4 linked regions of the Caenorhabditis elegans genome follow. The protein of the gene in region 2 interacts with the protein of the main gene of each other region in a pairwise test. Each region holds a gene or a part of one and is shown on either strand. Other genes may lie near its edges.

Region 1 (5,219 bases), 4.2 Mb from region 2:
GAAGTGCTGCATGGATCTCACGGATCCGAGCCAACTCTACAACCATCACAGCGTCACCAATGGAGACCTGTGCACCTCGAAGACCGCGGAAATGGAAGTACTTCCTCCGATAGGAAGAGATAAATCGGTGGATCGTCATAGGTCGCTGAACGTATTTCTTATGGTTATATCGAAGGAAGAATACCATAAGCATAGGACTTCCTCCAATTATGCCCACAACACTCGGAGGACTGGAGGAACTCCTGCTTATGATGATCTTCCGTGTTTCAATCAGATCTCGAGGAAGAAAACATCCTACAGCCACCAGGTTCCGGAAATCGATGTAGAGCTCAACAGTTCTTCCACATCAGCTCTTCCAATTAAAGAAGAGGTTACTACAAGGAGCCCTGCACCAAATATGGGTTTTTGCGAAGTACGCCAGCTCCCAAAAGACTCCAGAGGGCCTCAGAGAGATGGCTCCTCATCTCCTGATGTTCAGTTCATCAAGACTGTGACTATGTCACGGTTAGAGAATGTTGTTCCTACCAGCTCACGTGGAAAGGCGCCAGAAGATTCATCTGCACCAGCACGTCTAGGATTCCTCTCCGATCGTGCGGTCTCCGGGTCATCAATCCCAGCCGTCGAGGAAAGATCTGGAGAAGGCAGCTTCGACTTTACAGGTCCTTCCACTCCTCGCTTGGCCCAGCCAGCTTTTGGGAACTTTTTTGGGAATAGGGCGAGTTCTTCGTCTTTCGGTGCACCATTGTCAACTCTAGCTGTGGACAAGCTGATTCCGGAACCTCATCTCTCCGGAAGCAAAGCGGTCCCAGACCATCGTTTCGATTTCAAACATTTCAGACGTCTCCGAGCAGCGGGAGGAGGGCCCCTCAAGGCGATCGCCGATGTCTCCATCTAATCAACGGGGACGTGGAGCAGGACACCAGCCACGTAACAGGGAACATACACCGAAATCGCCATTGAGAAACCAGAGGGTGAGTAATTTGCAAAATGACCTAGTTTATTCCTCGATCATGCGAAAAAACCAACTAAATCTATCTGTAAATTTCACAGCGTGGTCGCCGAAGCCCCTCGACAGATGAGTGGACCCCCAGACGTTCAGAGCATCACCATCGTCGTGACTATAGAAGAAGAAAGCGGGATTATTCAAGAGATCGCTCACGCCATCACGGAGATCGTTATTAAATTCCATGTTGCATCTCAATTTCTTTTTCTTCGATTTCTCGAGTATTGAGCCTTTATTCACATTCCTTCTCGTATGTTCATAATAAATATTCTATCTACGTTAAAAGTAAAATATTCTATCTACGTAAATCTCCTTGTCTAACGCTCAATACACAACACAAAACATTCGCCTATTTCTTAGACTCGTAAAACTTCCTGATTTCCTTATGAATTTGCATGATCAACGTGCTGCTGTTTCACTATGAACATTTTCTACTCGTATGTTATCCGAACGGCTTTTATCAATTTAAAGATTAAACTCCAATATTTGAATGGAAATGAAGATGTGATGGCAATGATCTATTCATTACTTCTTCTTCTGTCTCGTTAAGAAACAAGATTTCAGCCGTTGCAAAGAATTATATTTATTAAACCCTCAATTCAAATTTCGCGCTCTTTCGAAGACGGGATATCGGAGTGTCGTTGTTTATTTTCAATTTTATTTTTTATTCGCAAAAAATCAATATTTGACTTTTTCTTCTATTTAAAACAGTTTTTGTTGAATTTTTCCTTTCATATAAATATTATTAATCTTTAAAATTTTTATGTTTATATGATTAAATCTTCCTTATTGCCATTAATTGTGTATTTTTCCAGATCCTAAAATTCGATAAACAACCAAAATGAAGAATAACGAGGATTTAGACGAAGTAGTACATTTATCGCAAGTAAAATAACTAATTTCAATTTAGTTTTCCAATTTTCATTAAGAAAATCAAAAATTTTCAGAATTCCGATGCAATTTTCGAGGAATGGGCAGCTGAGTGCACTCCCGACGCGCAAAAAGAGCACGAAGAGCTCGAGGAGATTGTCAAGATTCCAGATTCGACATACAGAAAAAAGTATGAAATTTTTGTGCTAAAAATTTATTAAATATAAAATTGAAGGAAAGGAAATCAAAAGTTGCCGACGGTGACGACGTGCGAAGTATGTGGAGTTGCGTTGAAATATCCATCGAGGATTATGGTACAGAATATTTTATTTTTATAACAAAATGAAGATTTTTATTTGTTCAGGAACACATGAGAACTCACACAGGCGAAAAACCATACGAATGTGACATTTGTGGAATGAGATTCACTCAAAGAACTCCAATGATTAACCATTTTCGTGTTCAACACATGGGTGATCTCCCATTTCTGTGTAATTTCGGTTGTGGCAAACGATTTGTGAATAATTCACGCAGAACTGCACACGAATTAAGCCATAATGGATTGGTAAGAAAAGTTTTTATGCTATAGAAAAATTTAAAACATCGAATCAAGCATTTATATCCTAAAAGATTACCGGAATAAGATATATTTTTTGCAGAAGCGAGCAGGACCGGCACGGCCTTATCTGAAACCAGTTAAAAAGATTGTTTGTCCATCAATGGATATGGATATACTTTCAAATTCTGCACTAGCTAATTATATATCACCACCAACGATGTAAGTATATGCAGAAGTGAACTAAACTTGATAAAATAAATAAAAATTACAACAAAAAACAAGAATTATAAGATTTTACATTTTTTAAAAAGTGAATTGCGGTGTTTAATCAGCAATCTTTAAAATTGAGATTTTAACACTTTTTGTTCTTTAACAAATTTTAAAACAACATTTAAAAAATCGGTGTTTTAATTAATAAAAAACTTTGATAATTTAAATAAAACTCCTGAAAATTTCTAAATTCGAAAACTTCCATCTTATTTCCGAATTGGTAAATTTAAAAGAAATTAAAATAACTTTGCAGAGACTCAATATTTCAAAGTGATCCATCAACTTCTTCCTCTTCACCTTCTCAATTTCAATCATCAAATCAAACAACAAAACAATCTATATATCCATCAGAAAAAGAAATGGAAAAAGCTGCAATATCTAATGCTCGAATTGATGACGTTATTAATACAGTATTGGCTCGAGTTTTGGCTCCGATTGATGAAGAAATTCCGATCGAAGAACCAGAAAAAGCTCCTCAGAAAAGAGCATATATTTCAAATCGAAGAGCAACACTTGCACAATGCAATATTTGTGGATTAATGCTTAAACATCCGAGCAAAATTGCTGTTAGTTTTTTTTTCGATAAAAAACGAATTTTGGTGAAAAATGAAAAATTAAAATTATTTCAGTGCCCACAAGCTGAATTTTTGCTGAAAAATTGAGAATTGGACAGAGAAACAATTTTTTCGATAAAAAGCATTCGAAACTTGATTTTCTGAGCAAACAGAAAAAAATATTTGTAATTAAAATTTTTTAAATCAAAGCTTATAGGTTTAAATGTGTTAAAAAACAAAATTTCCAATTTTCTCTCTATTTATAAACCTCTCAAGTTCTGAAATTTCTAGAAAAATATAATATGATTTATTATATCGAAAATTGTTGAATTTTCTAAACTTTGAAATCAAAAATTACAATTTTTAATAAAAAAAAGAAAGATAAATTTATTTTTAAATACAAATTTCTTTCCCATTTTTCAGGATCATATCCGAACACACACAGGCGAAAAACCATTTGAATGTGGAGAATGTGGCTTGTCATTGTCAAAAGCGAGCTCTTTAAAAGTACATATTCGTCGAATGCATACTGGAGAACGTCCATTTGAATGTACTTGGAGATGTGGATTGTCTTTTGTAACGGATTCTGTTAGAAAAGAACATGAAATGACTGTACACACTGGTAAATATTCAAAATATATTTTACTATCCGAAATTTGGGTTAAAACCGGGGGTAATTTAGAAAAAGAAAGCAATTTCCATTTTTTTTTGTTGCAAATTTTAGAATTTTCTCAAATTAAGAGTGTTATTGAAAATATGTTAACTCAAAAATATTTAAAAGAGTAGTCATCTACAAAAATTACAATTTTTGAAACATTCCAGGTATAAAACGTTACACATGCGTTGTAAAAGGATGTAATGCAGTATTTGCTCGTCGTGTATATCTCATGAGACATCGAAAAAATGCACATCCCGAGCTCTTCACACCAATTTTCGATCATGTTCAAGTGAATCACGAGGAATCACAGGATTCAGTTATTGTTTATGAAGATGATCATGAACAGAACAATCAGATTATAATGCTCACTGGTGATGGTGATGACGTCAAGATCTTGGCTCATTTTGAAGATGATGAAGAGGAATTTGTGGAGCAAGGAGGAAGCATGGAAGATCAAAAAACTGTTCATTTTTGACCAGAAACTTGAAAAAGCTCTTTCATTTTCCAATATCTAGGCAACTTATAGGGTAACTAGCATTTTCTACTTCATATATTCAGTTTTCTATTCCACCCAGCAATTAGTTTTTAAAATGGAAGAGTTATTCAAATTTCAAATTTCTAGGCCACTATTAAATTTTGCATTTTTTAACCATTTTTTTCATTCAAATTCTAGAAAAATTGTGAGAATTAATTCTCACAATTTTCAGTTTATTTTGGTTAACCTACGAGTTTCTTTTTGCTTCTTTTTTTAATAAAGATTTTTTTTCTCAGATTTTTCAAATTTTTTTTCTTTTCCGTATTCAGTATTTTTACTGTTTAATTATACTTGCTTTTTTTTTATTGTTTGCCAATATATTTTGAAACTTTCTCCTTTCGCAAAAATTGAAAAGATGAGATTTTGAAATTTTTTTTAACATTTTCAAACTTTCAGCAAGCTATTTTTGAGCAGTTCGAAAAAATGTAGCGGTACTTTTTTTTTGAGCCCAATTTTCTATAAAATGTTTTAAAAGGGTTTAGAATGTAAAAAACCAATTAATTGTTTTTTTCAAATTTCACAAAATCCAAAACAAATTTTTTTAGATATACCTTTTTTAATTTGCTAAAAACTTTCTAAAGGTCCAGGAAGGCCCATAAAAAATTAACGTCGAAAAATAAAAATCGATATTTTCAGAAATGGCAGAATCTTGTGTAAAACCTCAACTACCTCGTCCTCGAATTCCAAATATTAGAGTTTTTCAACCAACTACTCGAATTCCCACATTTACATATGAACAATTCAACGAATCCGTCGAAATTCTTCCAAGT
Region 2 (7,884 bases):
ATCATCGTTGAACCGCCTTTAATCCAGCTTAACCTAGTACATATTGTGCAGAAAATCGACTTTTTGCCATTGGAACACCTGCTTCTAACGCCCTACCCTCGTGTTTTCATCTGTTTTTCACGCTACCGTGATAATTGGTGTTGCGTAATATTTGAGAACGAGAAGAAGCGATTAAGTGGACTCACCATTCGGGAACATATCTACAATATCGTCACGGCGTGGTCTTCGGGATTGACGATATCCTCCAAAACGAAGTTGTTTCATTCTTCGTTCCTTGCTTCGGCGGTTTTGAAACCACACCTGTAAAATGGAAATTTATTTGGAAAACAAATTAATGGAGAAAATTATCTATTAAAGGTAAACCCTGTGTCATTTGGAAAAATATATTTTGAGTGAGCCCCACAGAAAAATTATGTTATCTGTAGAAGAGCATTTTGAACTTGAAAAAGCCGATCTGAAATTGTTCATTTTCATTCTCGGAATTTTACCAAAAGTAGATTTATGGAAGATTCTTAAAGATTTTGGAAACTTTGAATTTTTTGAAAAAAATTACTGAATCTTTTATCACCCAAATTCAATTTTTAAAATTTCAGATTGTTTTGAACGATTGAAAAATTTTCGAAAACGCCCGGATTATTTTCCCAAGTCCAGAAATCCAAGAAAAAAAAGAAAAAATAGTCGAATTTTTTTTTCAATCATATGTTTTTATGAAAAAAAGTTCTATTCAGATCGAGTTTTTTCAGTTCCGAATGGTCCTCTGTAGTTGACTACTTTTTCATTTAGAAGTTTAAAAGTGAACTAAAACACTGTACACGAAGATTAAATTTTTGAAAAAAATCAATATAGAGAGCGAACCCTTTTTTAGTTCAGTTATTTCCAAATTTTCGAATCAAAACACTAAAAGTTATGTGTTAGCAGTTTTTTAAGTTTACTATTATGGGGCAACTGTGCAGATAAACAGAATTAAAATTTAATTGATCGGTGGAAGTAGGCTAAAAATATTTCACACAAAAAATTAAGACTACAATTAATTTTGGAATTCCGAATATTCAGGGTTCAAAAATTTGAACAAAAAAACGAATTTTCTGAGTTCAACTCAAATTTCTCATTGCAATTCTCTCCCTTGACCACTCAGATTTTTATCTTCCAAATTGAAATTGTTTCCCATTTTCTCTTTCATCATCATTTTCGTATAGCTCTCTAAACACAACCAATTTCCTATGGCTTTCCGTTAAGTTTCCTGTTATCAGTTATTATGATTATGATCATTATTATTTCTATTGTTACATAAAAATCATGTGATGTGTACATCTTTCTTACAGTAAATAACATGATATTAGTTAGAAACTACAGTATCCACTCACTTTTTTCTCTTTTTCTTCTTTCCGTTTTTCCCTCTCTCTCCTTTCAAGGACTACGGTAATTGAATTTGTGTGTGTGCGTGTGGAAGGATGTGTCCTCCCCCAAGAGAGAGAAGGGCGGGGCAGGTGAATTAAAGCGGGAAATGAGAATTTGTGAGAGATAGTGCATTTCGAGGATACTTAGACATGTGCAAAAAAAGAAAAAAAGAAGAAGAATAGAAACCTGAATGACTCTCATGTTGAGTCCTGTCTCGGCGGCAAGTTGTTCACGGATATGTCGAGTTGGTTTGGGTGTTGCGGCGAACGCGTTTTTTAAGGTTTCAAGCTGAAAATATTTATTGAAGCTTTGGACAGTAATAAGATATTTTTTAAGTGGGGAAATTCAAGATTTTCAGCAGGAAACGCTGGATTCTTTATCAAACATTAATTAGAATTTTAAAATCTGATATCCTCTGTCAGTTTTGCCCAACTTTGGCAGCACAAATCTTGATCAGACTATGTTTTACCAAAAAATTGTCAACTGACAAAATATTTGTTACACTGACCTGGATTTAGAAATTTAATTATTTTTTCAAAAAGTTATTTCAATAATTATGTTTGCACTTTCCTTTCCGACATAGATAATTTTTTCTACTTCAGAAAACTCACTTGTTTTGCTTTAATTGTCGTTCGAGGGCCACGCCTTTTCGCAGAATTCGAGTCATCTGAATTGTCCTTCCCACAATCGCCTTCTCCATCATCGAGTCCGACCTGAAATTTTAATAAGTTAGATTAGATTCACTTTGGTTCTAACAAAACATTTTGACTTGTAAGTTATAGGTTAAATCTTTTCAATATTTTTAGTGTTGAGCCATTTTTGCAATCATTTCAAATGATACCAGCTGTCAAAAGTAGGGAAGTATGCTTCTTTATTAAACTGATTAGAAAAATATTTGTATTTTTTAAAGATTCGTTTACAGCAAACTTTTTAGCCACTACTAGAACTTTCTATTTTAAAAAAAAGTAAAAACTGATCCTAAATGGCAATTCCAGAGAAGTATATATTTCAGACCCACCTCATCACAAGCATCCACATTATCCTCCTCCACATCGGAATTGCATTCGGATCCATTGGATACTGTAACAAAAGAACATCATCTGTCTAATACCAGTGTATGTCCATTCCGCAACGAGATTATCCCCCCTTCCTTACTATTTTGCGGTAATTCGAATACAAAGAAATGTTTTCTGTGTTGACAGCTGTCTGTCTCTTCCTCTTTTGTGCAGAGATACCTATCATCGTAAAACTATTCAAACAACACATGGCTCGCTGGCTCATCTTAAATACGTTTGAAACGGAAGCATGGATTAGAACGTATGTCTCTGGTTTTATGAGAAGAAGAAGAAATTTCTAAGGATTTTATGACTTGAAATCTGGGAATTCTTTTTTGACTTTTTGGGTATCTACTGAAAATTATGTCTGGCGGTGTTACTTCAGAGATAAAGAATTTCATGGTAGGTAGGCATGTGTTCAGGCTCACTTGTCTGCCTCTAGCCTATCTGCCTTCATTCAATTATTGGAGTAGGCCTTGGACGCCTCAGCAGTCAACAATTTTATGAAAACTCCACCTTCTACCATAACTTTGAACAACTTTTGTATTATCTTTAAAACTCAATTCTTCGTCTCTTTCTCTTTCCCTTTCTTTATTTTTAAAAACCTTACCGGGCCTATGAATCGATGTGGGCGTTGATGTTTTGGTTGCTGTTTGAAAATCACTTTGACACACGAATCGATTGCCTTCCATGATATAAAGCTGCAAAATAACACTAAAAATTCCGCGAAAAAAAAACAAAAACAATCGTGGGAACCCCTCGCATATTTTCATGACAGTTGGAGCTGTCTCAAACCTTGACTAGGTCCCCCGTGTAATGCAATTATAAAGTATAATAGGTTAGAGACGGATGGAAAGAAGATGATTGTAGAGTGACAACAGGACACATCCCAAAGGGAATTGGGGAAGGTTTTGAAGCAGGAAGACAGGATGGAAAATGGAAGGAAAATGGCATTGAGATAAGATCTACCGGTTGGTCAGTGGGTAGTTTAACTGATTTGAAATTAATATAAGCAGAAGCAATGAGCAATGAGAAGATAATATGCGCCTCGAGACATTTTGAACGGTTGCTCCAAAATCCTAGTATTCTTGGAAAATTGTTTTAACGTATTGTTTTTCAACTGATAATGAGAAATGTTTAAAGTATGGTGTCCGGCAAATACTTCCGGCAACTATACAACGACAACCAAATTTTTCAAATAAAACAAATTTTAAAAAAATTAAAATATTTGATTGATCTGAAATAAAGTGTTTTTTTTTTGGAAAAGTTCAAAAAATCTGAAAAACTTTAACAGTAGTTTTGATAACTTCCGAAACAGTACTTGAAGTATTTTTCAAACGTTCCATTTAAAATATTTATTCATTATTTTGAAGTCAATCGAATATTTTTTTCTATATTTCTACATTAATTTTTCTTTTTTAAAAAGTAGAATTATTATACCAAAACAAACAGTATGGAAGTTGAGAGGGTTTTTAGATATTCAGCGCGCCTCTAGACAGAAATAGTTTTTGATGTTCCCTATAATGTTTATGATCAAAATTTTAATCAACTATCTGTTTCATCTACATGAGTCAAAACAATACTCAGAACAGCATCAATGACATTCAGTGACATCTTCTATTCAAGAAAACAAAACATTTTGAATGACAAGAAGGCGTGAAGCTTGAGTGGTAGAGAGCTCTCGGTAAGAGGCAGGTGCAACTGACAGGGGCTCATGATGGGGACACATTCAAGAGGTGTGAGCATGTGATTTTTAGGGATCTGCGTATCTTATTTGCAAATGGGCTTATCAGTATAAGTTAGACGTGAGAAAATAGCGACTATGAATATCTAATTTCATCTGAGTCACCGCTCAACTTATAGAAAAACCTTGATAATGGTGGAGACAAGCTTAAAAAGAACTGCCAGTTAAAACGTCAAATATCACTTACCGTCAGCCTTAAATAATATAAAACTTATTTGAAACTTTAGTTCAATTAAGGTACCAGCCTGGATTAATATATAAGATCAAAAGTACAATCAATCTTATATAGAGAAGAGGCTTAGCCTGGCTCACCTGGTCACCAGTGTCCAATAACCTTTGACAAACGGAGCATTGAAAACATCGAATATGAAAAACTTTATCTCTTGCTCGTCTCACCAGATCCTCTTTTTCCAATTTCCCATCGCATCCGGCACACCGTTGACTATATCGCCTGAAAATCACAATCAGGTAGGTAAAATAATTATGGACACCGTGGGAACCGTGGGAAAATTTAGATATAGAATTTGAAATTTGAAAATCAAAATAAGCAAGTAAGATTTGTTTACTACAAGTGAGCTTGAAAGCATAAGAAATTTGAGAATTTTGGAATATGATCTTCAAAACTTTAGAACATGTTTTGGGAGGATTTTGGAATTGCGGAATCTTTAAATTTTATGCCGTCATTTGCTTGAATATATTCTCCTAGCCCTTTTTGGCAAAGTTTTGGAACTACAATATATCCAGGAGTGGGTGACGATTCGCAGTACGATTATTTGAATTGGCATGAAAAAAACCAATTTTTCAATATGAAAAATATGTTGCAAAAGACTGAAAAAAATCTGAGAGACTTACTGAAAATTGACATCTACCAGAAAATAGTTATTACAATTTCATACCAGATTTCAGGACTTTTTTTTATTTTTCAATGAAAATAAACGTAGTTTTCAAATTGATCATGTTTTATATATTTTTACATAAACTTTTGACTAAAAATTTGGAATTTTGAAATTGTCACTGTTGAAGAATCTTAGAGGTTTTCAGCTTCAAAACTTCAGCGTTCAGTTAGAACTTTTAAAGTTTGCACACTGGAAAATTCAATGGAAAATTCATCACAACCTAATTGTAAGATGTTTTTGAACTATCTCCAAGAGCTCAAAACTTGCAGCCCGGCTCTTTATAGATCACAGTTCTTAGAAATTAATGTTGCTCGGAACTTACCTTGAAAAATCAGTTTTACACAGAATAAGACCATCTCTACTAAAACAAGTCATTGACATGGGCGCTCGACAGTCACAACATCGAAGACAAGACTGATGCCAGCATTTTCCGAGCACAGTGAATACATATCTGAAAGTAAGTGAAAGTGTCGGCTGAAAATGAAATGACTGCTAGTGCTGCTGCTGTCGAAGGGGTTGAGAGGGGGAAATGAATCGAAAATGGAAAAATTCAATTAGGGGCGAGAGAGGTGGTGTTACAGCAGCTAGAGATGAAAATTGGAATGAGACTAAACGGAAAATAATCATAAATTGCAAAAAAAGGTGAGGGACCGATACCTGTCAAGAATAGGCTGTGCACACGCGGCACACTCATTTCCACTAATTTCAGAGATGTGCGGCTGAGTCGTTGACGATGGCATCATCCACGTGGCAGAGTCGAGAAGCAGCAACGTGGCAGATGAGGTGACACTGCCGACGTCTTCAATTGACTGCTGATGAAGATGATGAGCAGGAGGCTTCTTCTCCTCTTCTTCCAGTGAGGTGATGATGAACGAAGAAGAAGAATGCATTGAGAAGGGAGTAAAAGGAGGAGGAGAAGAAGAAGAAGAACGACCACGAAGGTTACGGTGGTTGGGGCACCAGGAGGCTGGCTGGTTGATGGGCGGAGTTATTGACACAAGAGAGAGAGAGAGAGAGAGAAAGCCTGAAGAATGAGAGCTATTGAGGGAAAGAGAGAGAGGAAATTACGAATGTTGAAGCCTAGAAGAAAAATAAGAAGAACGAGAGAATAGGGATCGCTTTTGGTTTAAATGCTCATGATAGTTCAAATATTTTTCATTCACCGTATTTTCTGTATTGCACTACGTTTTCTTTCACACCTTATATCTCTGTTATCTTCAGTTATATCAAAAATAGTCAACATGAGAAATAAAGAAAAATATTTTCCAAGTATTTTATCAGTTTACAATTTTGATAAAAACTAAAGACAGCAAAAATATAAGCTTTTAAAGTAGATCAAAAGGGGTGCAAGTCTAATAGGGTAGTTTTTATAACTTCAAGGGGTGGTTTTTAGTAATTTTTGTTTTGATAGTGACATTATTCTACGATCAAGTTTTGCAAATTACGTTTAATTTTTTTCGGATTTTTTCTGGAATTTTTTACCAGAAGAACGATTGTCTAAAATGGGATACCGTATATATTAATTTTGTACCAATCTACAAAACGGCCCACTTTGGTACAATAACGCAACTTTTCAAATGTGGAAATCTAGAAAAATATTTGGTTCATATGAAAACCAAGTCAATTTTATTAAAAATTTCAGAAAAATCGTCAAACTTTTCCTTAAATTTGCCATTTTCCATAAAAATTGTTTGTGATATTTTTTTAGGCAGTCAACATTCAGCCAGTTTTTCAGATTCTTTTCAATCTTCGCAAAAAAGATTGGGGTTATTTTCAAATTAATACAATATTTTTATACATACATTTTAAATTCAAAAAGTTTGATTATCGTTCCGAAATCGGAAGCTTTAAAATGTTTCTTTTAATTTCAATTGAATTTTTAATTGAACACTTTCTGAGCTGTTAAAGTTGTATAATTGAGTGCGCTAAGATTTAATTCGCTACTTTGAAACTTTCCATTTGTTTTCATCGGGGTCATACAACTACAATGATTTTTACTTTTTTGTATTACATGTTATTTTAGGAACAAATATCCTAAATTAGAAGGATTTTTCTCAGTTCAAAACTTCGCAAGCTCTGTAATTCTGTATTCAAATTGTTTTTCAGCACATTGAAAAAAGAATAGCTAGTCCGGTAAAATACAACCAAAACTTATTTAACCCACAGAAGCAATCTCTTGATAAATACCAGTGAATCGACGGATCAGAGGCGCCCCTTGACGCCTCGACCAAATGAAATCTTTAGACACCACCAATTCAAAATTTTAATTCAAAGAGCCGTCAATGGAACAAATAAACACAGTTTCAATCAGGTTTCGAGCAAAAAGTTCTGCTCTTCACCTGTTTGACTTTGGGCATGTTTTCAATATAATACAAACCACATCCAACCGAACAGAATCAGCTGGATAGAAGGACAAACTCATTCGATATGAAATCAAAAGTGTCACGTATACAACTAGAGTAAAAGTGAAATGATTTTCTCATTTTGAACTTGTCATTTCTTGTGTGTCAACTATATCTACGAGTTCAGTGATTGTTATTTTTTCTTCCGGTGAGGTTGTCCTTGGTCTAGTGTCATCCCATTTCGGGCTTGTCACCTCCTACTGAAACAATGCCATTTCGCGCAGAAATTGGAAATAAAACTGAAGGATTACGGTAATAGAAGACGAGCGGAATGAGATGACGGTAGAATGTGATTCAGTGGAAATTCCTCAATTCATGAATGAGAAGATTTCTGATCATATGAAGACTGTAATGGAGCAACAAGAAAGAGTTTAATTTGATTACAGAAA
Region 3 (5,995 bases), on a different chromosome or scaffold from region 2:
ATATATCGGTGGCCAAGTTTTTGAATTTCCCGCAAAAAATTGTTTTCTTAGAAAATTGTAATTTTCCGCCAAAATGTTTTCTAACACGTGGTGTCAGAGTATCTCATTTCGGCTTGATCTACGTAGATCTACAAAAAATGCGGGATAAGAGACGCAGACATCCCAACTGATTTCGCATGGTTAAGAGCTTGTTGACGTCACAATTTTTTGATCAAAAACTTCCCGCATTTTGTAGATCAAACCGTAATGGGACAGCCTGGCACCACGTGTTCTAAAAAAAATTAGAATTTTCCTCCAAAAAAATTTTTTCAGAAAATTTGAATCTCCCGCCAAATCTCTTTTCAGAAAATTTGAATTTCCCGCCAAAATTTTAAAAAAATTTTGATTTTATTACTTTCAAAACTTGAATATTGAAAGTTTTTTTTTTAATTTAGAGTTTCCAATTAAAATTTTTAGAAATTTTATACTTTTAATTAGACATCCCCAAAGTTTTAATTAAATTCTAATTTAATTTTTAAAATCAATTTAAATCCAAAAATCTATTCAAAAATGAAGTTTATTTTAAAAAAAAAAGCAACACGGGACGATGAAATTATTGAAGTTGGCTAGATAAAAACACTGAAATAAGAAAAAAGCGGAAAGAAAACGGTTATTCAACATAGAAATCGACAAGTTGCTTTTTTGACAACGTTTTTGAAGGAAAAAGTTAATAGTGAGATAATAATTAATAATTACATGTATTGGTTCATTTCAAGTTTAATCTGATTTTGAGAAGCCTCTGGTGACGTGGCTGTTGGCTGAAGTGGCGGTGATGATGTCGCAGAGTCGAATGAGCAAAATGAGTAGTCAGTTGACATTGAAGGAATCGGATTGTAGCACATTTGTTCTGGAGTTGATGACGTCACGTTGAAGGAACTGTACGCCGAGTCGAATGACGTGGAAGGTGTCATTGGAGCAAAGTTGCTGGATGGGGATGAGGTGCCGGGGTACTGCAGTGGAGCATGGAAATTGGTGCTTGGAGCAGTTGTGGAGACACTGGTGCAAATCATAGATGGTCTGAGGGATTCCAGCAAGGACTTGTTGGATGATCTCCATTGCTTTCCGACCTGAACGGCTTCCTGTTTGGCGTCTCCGCGAGAAGTTGGGTTGGCGGCTGTGCGCAAGGCTTTTACGATGTGGTTCTGGAAAATTATACAAATTATAGATAGGATTTAAAATAAATTGAAGCATAATTTTTTTTTTTTTGCTTTTTCGAAAATTTCAATGTTTTGTTTTTTTTTTGGTGTAAAATTATTTTTTGGTCCCAGCCTTGATCATGATGAAAATCAGAATTTTTTTGGTTAAATCTTTAAAAAAAAAAGAAGTTTTAAAAGACTAATTATCGAATTTTTTATCGACAAAAAATATGGAAACTGTAGAAAATTTGTTGATTATAAAAATGACCGGAAGTTATTGGAAATTTGTTTTTTTTTAAAGAAATTGTAAAAAAAAATTTTAAATAAAAAATTGTGAATCTTTCTAAAATTTTGTGGAATTTTTGTATCCATTTTTTAGAAAAAAAACAGTCCAAAAAATATTAAGGAAAACGAAAGAAATTCCGAAAATTTTTAAAATTGACTTTTTTCGGCAATACAAAAAAGCGAGAAAATTGTAGAAATTAGTAAGTATAAAATTTGTGAATTTTTTGAATATACGGCAATAACCGAAAAATATTGTAAATTTAAATTTTCCAAATTTAAAGATTTTTATTTTTCAAAAAATATTGAAAACTAGGAACTTGGCGATTTTTTTTTTAATTTTGTTCGTTTTTTTTTTAAATATTTTCAGCGGTTTTTTTTTTGAATTTGTTTGAAATTCTAAATAAATTTAGCAAACGCTGAATTTGTTCCATTGTTAGAAAGAAATTCAAAAATAAAGTAGCAACAATGTTTCAATTTGTAACATTTTTCAATTATTTTTTTATGACGATTTTATAGCTCAAATTCATCATCTTATATCTCAATAATTTTGAGCTGTATCAAAAAATTGTCAACTAGCAAAATGCTTATCATGTATTTTTCTATAACTTTGTAATTGAGCATTTGTTTTTATCTTGTAAACAAACAAAGATATAAGTTGGCAAAATTTTGGGATTTTTTGAAAATAATTTTTTATCGATTTTTTTCGAATTTTTTTGAAAGAAATTTTTTTCTCATAGCCAATTTTAATTACTAACTCTTCTAATTTTTTATCAAGCCTTATAGCCTTATAGTCTTACCTTGTATGAAGAAACTGTCGCAAATTGGGTAATCTCGTTCTCAAATTCCCCAACCAATCGAAGCTCTTGATTTGGTAGAATCTCGTTGATGATGAGTACCGGGATGTACTTGCACTCATTTGATACCTCGAGCTGCAAAAAATTTGAATTATTAGTTGTTAATGATTTAGGTTATTCTTAGGGTTAGGATTAGGCATAGGTTTAGGCTTAGGGTTAGGCTTAGGATAAAGCTTTGGCTCACGCTTAGGTTTAGGATTAGGTATAGGTTTAGGCTTAGGGTTAGGCTTAGGGTTAGGCTTAGGCTTTGGCTTTGGCTTAGGCCTAGGCTTAGGGTTCGGGTTAGGCTTTGAATCAGGCTTCGGCTTAAGATTACGCCCGCCCACATTTTGGCAGTACCTACCATGGAGGTCTTCTTCTTCGAATACTGAGTATCATACTCTCGTTTCTCTGCGTCACTCATCTCTTCATATGGAGTCACTTTCTTCTTATTATCACTTCCAATATTAAACACCTTCACATCTGATAAATCCAAGCCGGTACGCATGATATCTTGTCCAGTGAACTCTCCAACAAATACTTTTTCTGTTTTCATTGCAATAGTCTTCTTGCTCTGTACATTCTTCCGGGACCAGCTTCCATTTGAATATTGAATCTGATAGGGGACCATTCGGCGGAGCAAAATTTCCACTTTGTAGTTGGATTCTGGATTGAGATGCTCGACTTTGTAGTTGAGGGCTGGGAAGATTTTTCTGGAAAAAATTGGTTTTAAATAAAATTTAAAAAAAAAAAATAAATAAAATTTTGGCTGAAAATTTTGCAAATTTGTTCAGACAAAATTATCCGATATAACTTTAGAAACAAGAGAAAATTTTCAAAGTTAAAAAATTAATTTTCGATTTTTTTTCAGAGAAACTATTACATTTAAGATTTTTTTCCCGAAAAATAAAATTTTGGCGGAAAATTTTCAGATGAATTTTTAAATTTTTTATGAAATTTGATCCCTAAAAAAATAAGTAAACATTGAAATTCTTAGGACAAAAAAATTTTGCAGAAAATTTCGCCCTTTTTTGACTAAATTTTTAGATTAAAATTTTCCGAAAATTGTTTTTTAATAAAAACAAATGTTGGTTTACTTTTTTGAACGTTTGTTTTTGACTTTAAGATTTTCGGAAAATATAAGCAAATAATATGTTTCTTTGGAGAATTGTAAAAATTTAAAAATTATGAAAAAATATTTTTTTAAATCCTTTTTTACATTTTTAAAATTTCAAAAATTTTCCAAAAAAAAATTTTTGCCGAAAATTTTGCTCATTTTTTTCAGACGAAATTTTCAGGCAAAAAAAATTGAGCAATTTAAAAAAATTTTGTACATCAGATTCAGAAAATTTCAAAAATTTTGAAACTAAATAATATTTTTCACGAAAAATACTAACCTCCCATTATTAAGCACATTCTGCTCATTACTCAAATAATGAAGCTCCTTCCAGAGGTCCTGTGGGTCCTGCAAAGTGACCGTCACAATTTTTGGCTGATGTGCATACTGATTCTGGTAGGTGAATGGGTCCGAATATCCTCCTTGGAAATTTTGGTCTGAAATTTTTTTAAAATTTGAACCTGTTACTAATATATTGCTATTATAAAGTTACTATTTTGCCCGAAATTTACAAAACAAATTTTTTTTTCGATGCACCATGATTTCAAAAAAAAAATTAAACTTACGATATTGCTGAAACATCTGAATCTGCTGCTGCATATCCCATGGAGCTTGGAAGTTCTGCCCGTAACTCATTTTTTGGAATTGCTCCGGAGTTGGCATTGGGTACCCGTAACTCATCGGTGGAACATTTTCCTGATTCTGCATTTGATAGGCGTTTTGTTCGTTTTGATAATTCATCTTTGGGGATAAGTTCTGAAAATAAATATATATATATATATATATAAAATATTTAAATAAGGCCAAAACGTCAAAAAAAAAACGAAAATTAAGTTAGAAACAATCTTATAGTTAGTCTACACTCTTTTTTGCGGAAGGAGGAATAGAAGACAAGAGGGCCCATAAAAAGCGGGAAAATGGTAGGTCAAATCGGTGACGTGGCAGTCAAAAAGTGGAGATGTGCGGAGGAAAGGGGCCTGTTTATTTGACATTAGATTTGGAGAAAAATTAAGAGTATTCCAGATTAAAATAATTTTTTGAAAAAAATAAAAGTTCCAGGTTGGCTCAATTTCTGAAAATTTGAAAAAAAAATTCCGATTTTTTTTTTCGAAAATTCTGAAAAAAAAAATCATTTTACGCGAAATTTTGCAATTTACGCCCGATCTCGACATGAATTTTTTTGTCAAATTCAAAAAGGTGTGTGCTTTTAAAGACTACTGTAATTTTTATTTTCGGTAAAATTTATGAGTTTTTGTACTTAGTACATGTATTTTTTAATCGAAAGAACTAGGGTGAAAATTCCAACAAAAAAAATATTTGTCGTGTCGAGACCCGGAACCATGATTTTGGACGTTACAATTGGAAAACTCGGTAAATAAATGTTTTCTTGTAAAAACAATAGGTTTTTGTTTTTATAATTTAAAAAAATATAATAAATTTTGAAAAATGTTTGAAAAAAAAGAAAAAAAATTCTACTTTAGACATTGAAATGTTTAGAAAAGTAAAAAAATATAATGAATATTTAGCAAAAAAGCTAAATTTGATCTACCAGGACCACAACAAAAAACAAGAATGACTACTTTAATATTCCAGCCACCGAACCATCTATATCCACTGGGCGGAGCAGTAGGCTGTCAGGTAAGTAGGCGGAACTGGTATACTTGGTACCTATTGATTGGGAAGTTAGGGGTCACCTCTATTAGAAGAGCATGTCAGGGAAATTTGGTAAAAGAAGAGAGTAGGTAAAAGAGAGAAAGATACGGAAAAAGTATACCGAAAAAGTATACAAAAAAATGAAAAAAAAAAAAAAAAAAAAACGTAAAAGTAGCTACGTCGAAACTTAGCAAGTTACCATATTTTCGTGAATTCCAAAATAATTTTCGCAGGTCTTCCAAACACCCATGCCTACATTCATGCCTGCAGACCTACACTTGCCTACGGGCCTACGCCTGCCTACATACCTGCACGTGCCTGCGGATTTACGCATGCTTATAGGCCTAATGTCTATAAGCCTACAAACCTACTCCTGCCCACAACTCGAACTGACCTACCCCATCATACAGTCCTGAACCTGCTTATCTAAGCCGAAGCCTGCCAACAGACCTACGCCTACTTACTTACCTTTACAAGTGCCTACAAACCTGCAACTGCCTCAAGATCTACGCAAACTTAGAGACCGAATGCCTGCAGACCTACACTTTCCTATAGACTCAGGCCTGTCTACAAGCCTATGCATACCTGAGGGCCTTTGCGCCTGCCTGAAGGAATATGCATGCCTATTGACCTACGTTTTTTGCAAACCTACGCTCACCTACTAAAGCGCCTACAGCCGTAAATCTGCCTAGAGACTTTTTTTACATTGAAATGCGAAAAAAACCAATTCAAACGTATCTCCACAGTCGAAACTCCAAATTGCAGAAGATAGGTGGTAGGCAGGCACGTAGGCATAAATTAAAACGCACATTTTAGAATTTATAGCAGGAAAAATATATAAGAAATCAACCAAAAAAATCGTAAAACAAGACAAAGATATTCAGAACAACATCAACATCTCTCCACATGTTTACAATCAACTGTATACCCAT
Region 4 (4,817 bases), on a different chromosome or scaffold from region 2:
ATTTGAAAAGGAAAACGTAAGTTTGGAATGTTTAATTTTCATGAAAAATTGGTTGGAATATTTTATTTTGATTGTCAAGTTAAGAAATCACATGTTTTGATGTAAATACTTAAGAAAATAAGTTTTTAATCTAGTGTTAACATTTTTAGCTGGATAGTGAGCGAGATTCAAAAATTTCAGCCTTCATTTTGAAATTATGAATATGAAAATAAATTCGCAACATAATCTGGAAGCTTAAAATCTTACTGAACGAAAAAAAAACAGGTTTTTAATGTTATGCATTACTTTGAAATGCTAAACTGAATTGCTGGTTATAAAATACATTCAAAAATAATTAAAAAATTTTTTGAATGGACCAAAAAAATATACCCGAGTATTTTATTTTCCCGAGTATTATACCCGAGTATTTTCCCTCTTTCCCTATGTGTTTTGTTGCTTAATTGATGAAGCGGTGCCAGAAAAAGAATTCGCTTTCGCTCCTAGCTTTATTTTTACTCTCAATCTCTAAAACCGAAGCCGACAGCGGTGTTTGGCTTCTGCCAGTTCAAAAAATGGGAGGAGCAAGGAGAGAACATAGTATGCAAGCTTTTTCTTCTTTTTTTGGAAAATTTTGTGTTGGTGTCTTTTGGAAGAGCACGAGGAGAATGAGAATAAAAAAGAATTAGGATAGAAAGCAAGATACTTCTGTTTTTATTACTCCTACGGAAAAAGAATGCTTGGGATCGGCATGAATACGTAAAAAAAAGGAAATTGGACAAACTACCGTAACTTTTATGTTTCAAAATGGAAAATTCGTATTTCATCTTGTATTACTTTTCCAAAAGAATTTCTTTGTTAGTCGTTAAAATATCAAATAGCTGATTATTACAATTAAAATAATTGGATAAGGATACAAGTTATATGGACAGTAGGTTATTTAAACAGTTTGAAAATTTGACAAAACGTGGTAATATCTAAGTATAATTCGAATTGATGCATGCGGGCAAACTTTCAAAACAAAAAAAAACACTGAGCATGCAAATACCGTACTTATGTTTTCAAAAAAAAAACTCAAAATCACATGCTTTCGGAACTAAAAACAAAATCCAAAATCCTACTAACCCTCACATGAGCTCATAAATTTATGTTCCTAACTCATAAATGTGTATAGATTAATCTATCAGTGTCAGTGTCAGAGCCAGATTAAAATTTTCTTTTTTTTGCATTTACTCTTATCTTCAGAGAAAAATTAATCGAAGAAGAAAAAATCACGAGAACTAACCCGTCAGAAGAATTCGGAGAGAACATGAAGTTGTTGTTTTCAGTTGGCAGTTGTTGTCCATTTTGAGGGCAAGAAGGTGACGTTAGAACAGGAAGTGTTCCGGTCGGTTGAGATGAAGCTTGTAATGCTGGATCTTTGGGTTTTGGTGGAGCACGTTTTCGTTTTCCACCGTTCTTTTTTAATCGACGCATTTGCTCGTACCACCGGCCGATTCGAGCTGAAAATTTAGATTTTTAGAGGGTTTCAAAAAATCTGCTGGAGAATAGGGAATTTTTTGGTATACTTGAATGTGACCGCCCGCTTCTTCATTTTGTCTTCGTTCATTTAACTTTGCAAGAAATCGAACACTTTGACCAAACTTTGGACAAACTTTTGTTCAGCATATGTTTTCATGTATTACAAGTCAGGACAAGGAAGGTCAAGTCTGAGCAGGGTTTGGCCACTCTTCGAAAATTTAAGCACAAGAGCATCAAAATATTGAAAGAATTATCAGGGCTGAGAAAATTAATTTTTCTGGAACATACAAATAGAGGTGGAGTTGCAACAACGATAATTTTTATTTATTTATTTCTTTAAAACACTTAAAAATAATAAATCGTTTTAGAAACTTTGTTTGTTCTTGTCACAATTTTGATGAAAATCTTGAAATATAAATTCCTTGTGAAAGATTTAATAGTAGTACACAGAAATAAATTGAATGATCAAGAAATTTTGAAACAGTGAAAAATTGTTTTTAAAAGGAATTCTATTTCTGCGTGCCTATTTTTAAAACCAGTTTAAAAAAATCAAAAACATTTTTTTAATAGTATGTCAGTGAAGGATACTCATGACAAACTTGGAAATGTAATTTTTAAAAACAGAGCAACATGGCCTAATAAAATTATTTAAATTTTGTTATCTAAACTCCATTTCCAGACAGAAAATAATTTTTTCTGATAACGATCATAGACAGGCCAACAAGTTCAATCCGGAAATGTGTTCAACTTACTGGCTGCTGGCTTTGATAGATGCTTCCGGTGTGTGAAACAAGCTCCAACTAGGCCATGAGTAAGCATATAATCGTAATTTTCCCTGGTCCCATAATCCATTGCCGCCTGAAAATTTTACATTCGCCATGTTTAATTTTATTTGAAAGTGTACTTCTAAAGCCATCATCAAGTTATCCTCAAAGTGAGCAGTAAAAGCTCGTTGATCTTGACACCATTTGGTAAGTTCGCTACACGCTTCCGGAAATGTTGACACATCGATTAGGTTCTGAAATTGTTTTTTTTGTAATTGAACTAGGTCTATGATTTCTTTAATTTTACCTGCACGACTTTAATAAAGTTCGAAATTTCGGAAGTTTTATATGTAATTTTTCAGAATTAAGAAGTGTTATAATGTTGTAAATGCTCATTTAAAATTTTATGGGGCTCTGTTAAAATAATCTTGTTATGGGTAGTAGTATTGTTAAAAAATGCGGTAAAATAATTCTTAAAGTTTTGTTCTCAATTAAAAATCAAATAATTGCATTTTTGTTGTATGTAGCAATTTTTATTAAATGCATAAATTTTCGCTGTATGCATAATATTGTCAATAGTCAATAAATAAAAATTAATACTAACTCTAAAAACTAGAGATTCTTGGAAAATATCACTAGAAGCATTTTTTGGAAACATACAGCTCTGAGTGAAGCAAGTCGACTGTTCGTTGTGGCCACGTGCTCCGCAAAGGTAGGATCAGCCATGTCGGCTGAGTTAAGGACCCTGAAAATTGACTTATTGGGTTTCAATCCAATTTATAGAAAATCAGGAAAAAAGACGAATACGAGGGAGAAATGAAGAGAGATGAAAAAGAAAAAGAGACAATTAAAACGATTGGATTGTGATTTATTGTCCAATAAAAAGTTTAGTGGACATTTGTGTAAAGATATTGTGACGTGTGAAAAGTTAAAAAATTGAAAATTGAACACTCGAAAAAAGAGAAATTAATATTATATATATATAACTCGGCTGAAAGACGTAACAAGCAACAGGCTCTTAAAAGTTTAAAAGAAATACGAATTGTAATAAAAACTAGCAAGGTTTTAGGAAATATCGAAATTTTTTATAAAACTTTAGAATATGTCAAAACTTGCAAGTGGCGTTATTAAAAAATTTGAAGAAACAAAAATGGTAAAATGTTATTAGTATTCAAAACAATCAAAATACTATTCGAGTTTAAGGAATAAAAGCAATGAATCTGAACGACAAAAAAAGGTTATGAAATGTTTCATCAGAAAAAAAAACTGTGGAAACTAGAATCTCAAACTGGAATCTTGATGATTCAAAAATCATATGAAGCACGAAAAAAGCGTAGGGCTATTCAGAAGAAATCGTCAGAAAATTGGTTGTTGGCTTGTGGAGGTGAGCATTGGCATTGGAGCAGCGCCATGCATGTGTCCGGAAAACACGTGCGAGCTCCGCGCGGCAATGACGCGGTGCGCGGAGCAACCGGAACACACGTATAAATAAATACACATAAACAAGCCGAGCAAGAGAGCATCTCAATCGGAGAGGCGCAGCGTATGGAGAGAAATGATTGCGACCAAATGTCTTGGGTTTCTGAGCTCTCATCAAGTACGAGATGGAGGGACGATGGAAGACACAGAGATCGAGAGAAAACGGATCATTTACATATGGGACAAGAAGAATAAGAAAAGTGGAAAAGAGATGATGGAACAATAATTCAAAATATCATAAGTCAGAAACGATTAAAGTTATTTAGAATTTTTATGTACTTTCAAAGTTTTAAATATTCAGAACACCCAGAGGTATCTTATATCTTGTACTATTGCATTCGGTTTCAGAAAATTATCATCGTGAAGACTACGAAACTATGCTAGATATTTCATCAAATACTTTCCTGAATTTTTGACCCAACTTCCTTGAAAATCTCCACGAGCGCTACTCCACATTTAATTAAAAGGAATAGGAACACCTGAGCATTGAACATTGCGAATAATTTGCACTTTCTGTGTAAAAGTTTCAAGTGTTAAATATATCTCTGACCTTTTCGTACATCACTGTTTGCTCACTGCTATTATCAGACCAAAAAAAGAACATTCCCTCCAAAACTACCAAAAGTTCAGATGTTGCTATCATGTGATACCTATGAAATTGATTGCGAATCTATTTGCTTCCAACTTGATATAAAGATGATTGATTAGAATGATAAAACAGAAATCATAATTTTGTTGAGACACTTTTTCGAGGAACAATAAGAACAATTTTGTAGGATTTATATATCGACAGAAAAAGAATCTAACCTCGATAGTGAAAGTTAATTCAAAATATACTGAAATTTTGCTCAATCATTTTTGGAATTTTCTGAGGTTTCGTAATCAAGTTTTCTTTTTTTTTAAAGGTGATGCAAAATTTCAGAGTTTTCATGATTTTTGTCAGAAACATGTAATGGAATTTTGCCTATTTTTTAAATTTAGTTATGAAAAAGTCTATCCAAAAAAATTGGGCAGAAGCTTACTATTAAGGGATTATAACTAACTATAAATTCCATATTTAAATTTTTTTTAAAATCA

What was found.
Region 1: the proteins of lin-11 (region 2) and let-391 interact in a two-hybrid assay, tested with the Caenorhabditis elegans proteins (one large-scale study listed by BioGRID).
Region 3: the proteins of lin-11 (region 2) and tbx-33 interact in a two-hybrid assay, tested with the Caenorhabditis elegans proteins (one large-scale study listed by BioGRID).
Region 4: the proteins of lin-11 (region 2) and miz-1 interact in a two-hybrid assay, tested with the Caenorhabditis elegans proteins (one large-scale study listed by BioGRID).

The regions. Positions count from the first base shown.
Region 1 is NC_003279.8:6,036,587-6,041,805, forward strand, and holds let-391 (C2H2-type domain-containing protein), read left to right. Parts: upstream 1-1,816; 5' UTR 1,817-1,844; coding exon 1,845-1,871; intron 1,872-1,950; coding exon 1,951-2,063; intron 2,064-2,108; coding exon 2,109-2,187; intron 2,188-2,237; coding exon 2,238-2,438; intron 2,439-2,532; coding exon 2,533-2,651; intron 2,652-2,955; coding exon 2,956-3,268; intron 3,269-3,679; coding exon 3,680-3,878; intron 3,879-4,078; coding exon 4,079-4,389; 3' UTR 4,390-4,681; downstream 4,682-5,219. Other genes in the region: C27A12.4 (C2H2-type domain-containing protein), read left to right, coding at 1-895; szy-5 (C2H2-type domain-containing protein), read left to right, coding at 5,088-5,219.
Region 2 is NC_003279.8:10,246,438-10,254,321, reverse strand, and holds the start of lin-11 (Protein lin-11), read right to left. Parts: upstream 6,031-7,884; 5' UTR 5,984-6,030; coding exon 5,751-5,983; intron 5,545-5,750; coding exon 5,416-5,544; intron 4,649-5,415; coding exon 4,510-4,648; intron 3,155-4,509; coding exon 3,064-3,154; intron 2,479-3,063; coding exon 2,417-2,478; intron 2,112-2,416; coding exon 2,010-2,111; intron 1,687-2,009; coding exon 1,585-1,686; intron 301-1,584; coding exon 186-300; intron 1-185. UniProt on the Caenorhabditis elegans protein: Probable transcription factor which is required for asymmetric division of vulval blast cells. Involved in olfactory plasticity probably by regulating the expression of transcription factor mbr-1 in RIF neurons.
Region 3 is NC_003281.10:11,632,675-11,638,669, forward strand, and holds tbx-33 (Putative T-box protein 33), read right to left. Parts: upstream 4,167-5,995; 5' UTR 4,152-4,166; coding exon 3,977-4,151; intron 3,848-3,976; coding exon 3,691-3,847; intron 3,007-3,690; coding exon 2,658-3,006; intron 2,390-2,657; coding exon 2,258-2,389; intron 1,182-2,257; coding exon 732-1,181; 3' UTR 542-731; downstream 1-541.
Region 4 is NC_003282.8:10,810,598-10,815,414, reverse strand, and holds the start of miz-1 (Zmiz1 N-terminal tetratricopeptide repeat domain-containing protein), read right to left. Parts: upstream 3,017-4,817; 5' UTR 2,988-3,016; coding exon 2,922-2,987; intron 2,516-2,921; coding exon 2,402-2,515; intron 2,356-2,401; coding exon 2,250-2,355; intron 1,479-2,249; coding exon 1,262-1,478; intron 1-1,261.